Linked DNA regions of Xenopus tropicalis. The protein of the gene in region 1 interacts with the protein of each later gene in a biochemical or structural test. Links are inferred from orthologs where the notes say so. Each region holds a gene or a part of one and is shown on either strand. Other genes may lie near its edges. The genes, in order: npr3 and nppa.

The links.
Region 2: the proteins of npr3 (region 1) and nppa form a complex in vitro, tested with the Homo sapiens proteins (4 studies listed by BioGRID, with this or other methods). The link is inferred for Xenopus tropicalis from reciprocal best matches to the Homo sapiens genes NPR3 and NPPA.

What each region holds. Positions count from the first base shown.
Region 1 is NC_030677.2:200,603,067-200,606,896, reverse strand, and holds part of npr3 (atrial natriuretic peptide receptor 3), read left to right. Parts: intron 1-2,941; coding exon 2,942-3,053; 3' UTR 3,054-3,830. UniProt on the Homo sapiens protein: Receptor for the natriuretic peptide hormones, binding with similar affinities atrial natriuretic peptide NPPA/ANP, brain natriuretic peptide NPPB/BNP, and C-type natriuretic peptide NPPC/CNP.
Region 2 is NC_030683.2:65,813,667-65,817,930, reverse strand, and holds the start of nppa (natriuretic peptides A), read left to right. Parts: upstream 1-1,206; 5' UTR 1,207-1,314; coding exon 1,315-1,431; intron 1,432-3,429; coding exon 3,430-3,744; intron 3,745-4,264.

The DNA.
Region 1 (3,830 bases):
TATTTTAAAATATACACATTCCAGGGTTTAAAATTGCCCTGTATTCAGCATAAATTATACAGAGTCACATAAAAACCTCGTAGACATTGCAAATTTTCAAAATTCTTCTTAATCAAAAACTTTTTAACCATTATAATGGATATTATGGCCACTGTGTTAGAACATCACACCCAACATATAAAAATACAGTGAAGTTTTAAAGTGCAAATTAGTGCAAATCGATTAAAACCAGCTAAAAACTTAATACAAAACTATTTAGGAAACTAGTTGCAGGCAATACAATTTTGAGAAGGGATTCCTTCCATCCAGAGCATACTGTAAAGTCAATACCATATGCACAGTTGGTGAGACTTTATAGAAATTTCACTAATTATAAAATATTTAAAGAACAAGCGAGACAAGAGTGTGAGAGGCTCGAAGAGAGAGGATATAATAAAAATGATCTGCAAATAGCGTTACACAAAGTAGGTGACCTAATAGCAAATAGTAACAAAAATAGAGGTAAAAAAAGTAAAATGGAAACCTCCAAAACTACAAAAGTTGAAGAGATCAGGTGCATTCTAGATTTTGGGGTGCAATATAAACAAATAACTAAAGTTATTAAAAGAAACTGGAATATTTTACAGGTGGATCCAGTGTTAAAAAAGCTGAATATGAGACCAGGTGTTATAAGTAGAAAAGCAAAATCGATAGCGGGATTTATAGCCCCAAATAAATTGAAGAGAAATAACGATAGGAAAGTGACATGTTGGTTAGGTAATGTAAAAGGTTTCTTTCCATGCAAAGGTTGTAAAGCCTGTAAATATACTGGTAATAAAAAAACATTTTTCAGTAAAAATAATGATAAAGAATTTAGTATAGATACTTATATATCATGTCAAACACAGTATGTTATCTACTGCCTACAATGTGAATGTGGTTCTATATATGTGGGACGGACTATCAGACAGCTAAGAACAAGGTTAGGAGAACATCTGCGAGGACTGAAAAATAAGGATGATGATAACCCTTTATATAAACATTTTAAATATTCACATGAAGGCAAGCAGATGCAGTTTCAAATGTTTGGCATTGATAAAATAAATGAAAGAAGTGAAGGAAACCTGGTTACTAAGCTGTTGCGGTTAGAATCTAAGTGGATATTTACATTAAACACTGTAATACCAAAAGGGATGAATACAAAATTTGAATTAAAACCATTTTTAGTGTCATCCTGGAAATAATTTGTGTAGGAGAAATATGGGTTGCAACCTATAGCACTAAATAGCACCAAATGATCTTAAAGGCAATTCTTCTGGGTTTGAAAAGTGACTTATGAGTAACTGGTCGGGGTCTGAATATAAGATAAAGCGAATGAACAAAAAGAAAGAGTTTTTAGCTGGTTTTAATCGATTTGCACTAATTTGCACTTTAAAACTTCACTGTATTTTTATATGTTGGGTGTGATGTTCTAACACAGTGGCCATAATATCCATTATAATGGTTAAAAAGTTTTTGATTAAGAAGAATTTTGAAAATTTGCAATGTCTACGAGGTTTTTATGTGACTCTGTATAATTTATGCTGAATACAGGGCACTGTTTAACCCTGGAATGTGTATATTTTAAAATATTGTTATAATATATGCTCAATGCAATACCCTGTACAATGTATAGGGTAGATGTGGATGGGTATAAAAGGGATGTGACATCAACACACCACACCTCCTCTGATGAAGCACTCAGTGCGAAACGCGTTAGGAGAGGCACTAGGATGCACCTTGTCACTGTTTGGTATAGTATATATCTGAATTTGTTTTGCATTATGTTTTGAATGAATTTTTGAGCCATTAAAATGTGGTTTTATTTTCACTGAATCAATTGCTGTTATTTGTATACTATGTCAGGACCTATCAGTGAAATATAAAATGTGATTTCCTTTCCTAAATATATACTGTTGTGATTGATTAGATATAAAATGCTGGGACTGTTATCACTGTATTGTCCAGCATGCCTGGCAGTTAGGGATGCACCAAACCCAGCTTTTTGGGTTCGGATGAACCCCGAATCCATCCCAAAACAATATTTGGTGCAGTGGTTCTCAACTATGAAAATGGTCCCCTAATGGGCTCAAAACCAAAGGAGGTTGCATGAAACTTTATGGTGAATGCTTAGTTGCTATCATAGATATCTTTGGAACTGTAAGAGAATGACCATTTTATATATATGTAATTATATGTATTACAAGGTTGGGCTTTCATTTCACAAGACTGAAGACCCAGAATCTGTTTAGTAGGGGGAGTTTCACTCCGATTTAGGGTTCTTCTCAAACCCTTCTATGAAACCGAAGACATTCTCTAGCCTCATATGTTATTTCTGTGACCCAGTCACCTAAAGTAAATATAAATAAATGGAGGCCACTCACTTCACATACAAAAAAAGCAACATAGGTGTTTGGTGCAAAAAAACCCAAAACTGTATAGGGTACCGAAAGCAGTAATTTTAAATAGGATAAGGGTTTGCACACCCCAACGTTCTCGATTCCCCTAGAGAAAGGCTCTTTGCTGAAACGTTGGGGTAATTCTCATCTTTGGCAAGTGTATCCGCTATCATGCGTGTCTCTTTTTTGCCTATGCACATTTTGTGGTATGTATTATCTTATCATTTTATGTGTTATTTTCTGTAATTTTGTAATTAAAATTGTTTGCTGTTAAATCTTCTGCATATTATAGAAAGGATTTTTTTTTAATACTACCACTGTGCTTGTGTTTTCTGTGTGCAAACCCTTATCCTATTTAAAACCCAGTCACCTGAAGTCCAGGCTAAATTGACTCTCCTTCAACACAGATATTATCATTGGGTTATTTAATGCAGTTTTTATTTACAAAAACATATGGAAAAATCTCCTCTAGTAGCAAAAAGTGACACTTGACCATCTCACCATTGACATTCCTCCCGTTGCAGAAAGAAATACAGAATAACTATCGAAAGACGAAATCAGCAGGACGACTGCAACCTAGGGAAACACCGACAGCTTCGGGAAGATTCCATAAGATCTCATTTTTCTGCGGCATAAAGAATAGAAAACAAACAAAAATCTTTAGGAAGAAGCAACCAAAGACATCATTACGTGTGATGGGGTTCTTGCAGAAGCTATTTTTTAAGGCAGTAGAATCTTATTTCCATTCTCATATTGTTTTCAGAAACTCAGGAATGATCGATTAATTGCATTATGCCATGTGGCCTTTCATCTTGTGAAAAACGGGCACGGTTTGACAAGGTTATTACGATCTGTGCGTAGAAATCATTGGGCGATGTGTGTCGGACAAAGATAGGCACTTTTTTAAAAAAAAAATAATGTTCCTTTTCAACATGTTTGTCCAGAGCTTCATAGGAAAAACAAACCCAAATTGGCACACATAGTTAACACTGAAATTATTTTTTTCGACACTGAAAATTTTTGCAGAAGGAAAGGTTGTTGGAATGCAACCGCGCAATTTTGATTTGATAGTGCGCAACCTTGGCAGGTACTGGCAGCAGTACGGGTTGTATTCACTCCCATACAGTAGACGTTGTGCGGAAGAGTTAAAACGAGCACGCCGGGCCATTAAACCCAAAGCCTCTGCACGGAATATACCATTCACGTATCTTATTTCTGCTATGAATTCTCGAGGTCGATGGGTTAAAAATACCTGTTTTTGCCAAAGTACACTGAAGAGTTCATGTTGACTCTGGCGAGCTGAAAGCAAACACAATGAAGCATTGATGCAAATGAATCTGTCCATCTTGTTGAATTTTTCTGGTTTGCTCAATCTTGATACGGCTTAACCTGCGGCATGACAGATCGGCTGTA
Region 2 (4,264 bases), on another chromosome or scaffold:
CTACATATTCAAAATATACTCATACTCCATATTTGCCACCAGAGAGAAAAAATGGAGGGGAATAAATGATTAAATAAGCTTTATATTTTAAATGTTAATGCTTAAAGGACAAGGAAAGTCTAAGTCACTTTGGGGTGCCAAAATGTTAGGCACCCCCAAGTGACTTAAATTGCTTACCTTGTACCCCGGGCTGGTGCCCCTGTTAGGAGAAAACAGCACCAGCCCGGGGTAACTGTAGCGAGTGCTTCCTTCTTCCCTATTCGCGCTGCTGCTTATTGTCCGGGACAGGCACATGCGCAGTAGAGTGAAACGCTGACTTCTCTGTTCAAAGTTCGGCTACTCACTCTACTGCGCATGCGCGCGCAGCGAACAAGGAAGAAGGAAGCGAACGCTGCTACCCCGGGCTGGTGCTGTTCTCTCTGTACAGGGGCACCAGCCCGGGGTAAAAGCTAAGCGATTTAAGTCACTTGGGGGTGCCTAACATTTTAATATTTAAACTGGGACAAATTTACTATAAAAAGGGAAAGGGTTTACTAATGAAAAATGGAGAGGAAAGGCTAGCAATGTAGATTTTATGACATGTTTTTAGCTTTTTCAGAGTTTGTAATCTATTATTTAAACTTTTTAAACATGGAATAAATGTATTTATTTCAATGAGCACAGCAATAAGTTAAGATCTAAAACAATGCTTTTAAAGGGTAGTTAACCTTCAAATTAACTTTTACTATGTTATAGAATTAGCAACCTTTAGTCGCTCTTCATTTTTTATAGCTTTTGCATTATTTGAAGCTAATCTGGCCAGGTCTGTTGTACTTACATTATATTTTATTAGTCTTGGAGTGCTCCCACACTGCCCTGTGTGTTTCACTAGCTAAACTCCATCCATACCACATTGGTTAGAAGTTTGAATTTTCTTATTTTCTATGAATCACTAATAAGGAATGCAGATGTAAAGATAGATGGGTCAGTTTATCCTTTTCACCCAGACACTGCATGTGAGAAGCCTCTTTAACAAAGAATGTGAGTCTTCCATCAGGTCAGTTCAGTCAAGTGGATAAGGCACCTCCTGGAAATTCTGTGGAAATGCAGAGGGAAGAATAACTTTAAAAGGGAATCTTCTGTTGGCCTGCAACCAGCTTCTTTATCATACGGAAGTGCTAGAATGTGGCGGGGTTCATTCCTCTGCAACTCTGTGTCACTGCTACGCATATAAAATGAGTCAGTGTTGTGTATATCAGAACAAACAAGGAGACACACAGACATTTCTATAGTGGAAATTAGGTTTTTGGTCAATATCAGAAAGTCTCAGGAGTCATGGGGACTTCATTCGTTGGATACTTTACTTTCATCTTCTTTCTTCTTGCTCTGATGAAGGCCAGGGGCAGTCCTGCATACAGCTCTATCTTGTCTTCTGATCTAACAGACTTAAAGGTGAGAGACTCTGTAGCATTGATGTGGTTCTAAAGAACTTTACTCAAAAGAAGGAATGAAAATATAATGTAATTCTAAACAGTGAAGATTAAAGAGAAAGTGTAGGAATCCAGCAAAAAAATACTGCATGCTCTGTATTCTATTATTTTACACACTTTTTTAAGTTTATCCATTAAAGGGCAGTTACATATTTACAGCAACTAGCTATTATTAACATGATCCCTTTTGAAGTTTCTCGGATGCCTTCCCAATATAAGTGTCTGTTGTTGTAGTTATTTACACTAACAAATCAGAGTTAAATATCTTTAGTGCACATTGAATTCCATCAATTAATTTCATTTTTTCCTACATATGATCTTTCCCTGGTGTATAACCTCCTTTATGTATAATTAGCAGGGAAGCTCTTGTATCCCACCTAATACAACATGTGATTTTAGCAAGTTTGCCTATTAAATAAGCTAATTAAAACTATCTATAAATGTACAACACAAAAAAATGTATAATGCCTAAAATGATAACATTCAGAAATATGCTTGTAGTAAAACATATTGGGCCCATAATTTATTTGCAAGTTTTAGATGCTACTCATACAATCATTTGTAAATCTATAAATCAGTTACAGTTGGGGTTACATTATTCATTATAATCTATAGTTTATCTTTTGCTGGCACACACCACATATATTATTAAGTTCTTATAATTAAAGTAGATCTAAACCAAAATACAAAAAAAGTCAACTTACATTGCTCCTCTGAGCACTTGCTATTCACTTACATTTTTTGTTTTTAGTAGTTTTTGAGTTATAGTTTTAGACTCAGCATCTCTCTAGGTTTAACTGACTATGAAGTAGGGATGCACTGAATCCAAGATTTGTTTTGGGATATGGCCAAGATTCAGCCTTTTTCAACAGGATTCAGATTTCACCAAATCCATGGTTCTTGCTGAACCGAATCCGAAAAATCACATGACTTTTTGTCATATAAATACGGAAGTTGAAAATTTGCCACTGCCTGCTTTGCATACAATTGTCTTTAACCTTCCCCTATCCTAATTTGCATGTGAAAATTAGGATTCGGATTTAGTTCAGTATTTGCCCGAATCTTTCATAAAGGATTAGTGGTTTGGCCGGATCCTAAAATATTGGATTCCCTACTATGAAGGTGGTGCATAATCAGAGACCATTAATAAAAAAAAATGTAAATCACAAGAGTGGTCAGAGAACTCTGCTTTTAACAACAACAATAATTCAGACAGCTCTCCTCATATCCTATAGTCTAGCTCTTGCTTCATCCAAAAAGTCACTGGAAATGCCGTACAGCTTATCAAGTGAACATGGGCATTTATTGGGAAGTTGATATACACATAGTTTCACACAGGCACACCTAAAAAAAAAAAATTCTGAAGTTGGACCTCCCTGATCTTTACACATGTATTTAATACATTATATAAGTACCAGAATAACTCTTAAGCATCTGGCCCACATCTACTGGCTGAAAATATTAGAGCAGATAAGCTTATCTCATGATTTTAAAGTTTAGTTGTTTCTGGTTGTAGCCTTTCTTTATCACCAGTCCAGAACAACCAGTAACATTTAGGGGCATATTTATCAAAATGTGAGTTTAGAGCTCAATACATAAAACTCACATTGTATTCATTCTTGTGGGGTTTTTAGAAGCGTATTTATCAAGGGGTCAGAGTTAGAACTCACCATTTGATAAATACACCTCTAAAAAACCCATAGGAATGAATACAACGTGGGTGAGATTTTATGTATTGAGCTCTAAACTCACATTTTGATAAATCTGCCCCTTAATGTGAGTTTGCCTAATTATTTGGATATTTTTTTTAAACATTACCCTCAGACATGAGAAACTGTTGTTTACATGACAATAATTTACACACATTCATAATATATATTTGGAAGAGTTCACTAGAAATTAATTTCTTCACTGCAATTGACTACATTTTATTTAGCTCATTAAGATCTTTTTCCTGTAGAACATTTTGGAGCGCTTGGAAGCGCCTGCAGAAGAACCAGTGGCCCCATCCCAAGATTTATTTGCTCAGAATTTTGATGTTGCCGATGCTTCTAACTCTGCTCCTTCCTGGACCGGAGAGGCTGTGAGACCCCAATCTGATACAGTATTCAACAGAGGGTCTTCCTGGGAAACACCTGATAAACTATCCCGACTAAAAAGCAAGTTAAGAGAGCTTTTAAATTCACCAAAAAGTTTAAGAAGGTCCTCAGACTGCTTTGGAGGACGCATTGACAGAATTGGAGCCCAGAGTGGCATGGGTTGCAACAGCCATAGGGTGAGCAGCAAACCCATTCTTGTAGTATCCACCTAAAAACACATTTGCTAAAAATTATAAGGGAATTGTGTTGAAATAACATTCTGCCTTTTGTTTTAATTAAAAAAAAAAAATCAAAGTTTTCCTTTTATTTGCCATTATAGAGGACTAATTTGAAAGTTGGGCTACTCACTGACCTTACCGTCCCTTTCTTTAGGGCTCTGGCACACGGGGAGATTAGTCGCCCGTGACAAATCTCCCTGTTCGCGGGCGACTAATCTCCCCAAGTTGCCATCACCTGCCATCCCACTGGCGAAAGTGTAAGTTGCCGGTGGGATGGCACATGCGGCGGCGCGATTTCGGCAAATCGCCGAAAAAGCCTCGCGAGGCAACTTTGTTCAGAACTCCCTATCTACCTTCTATAAAGCAGCCTTTGAGCAGCTGATTATTAGAGACTTCTCAGCCCCTAATGTGGGCTGGTTATTAGCTTTATCAGCTCCTTTGTTTGTTGGGATCAGGAAGTGAAAAGAAGTACAAACTG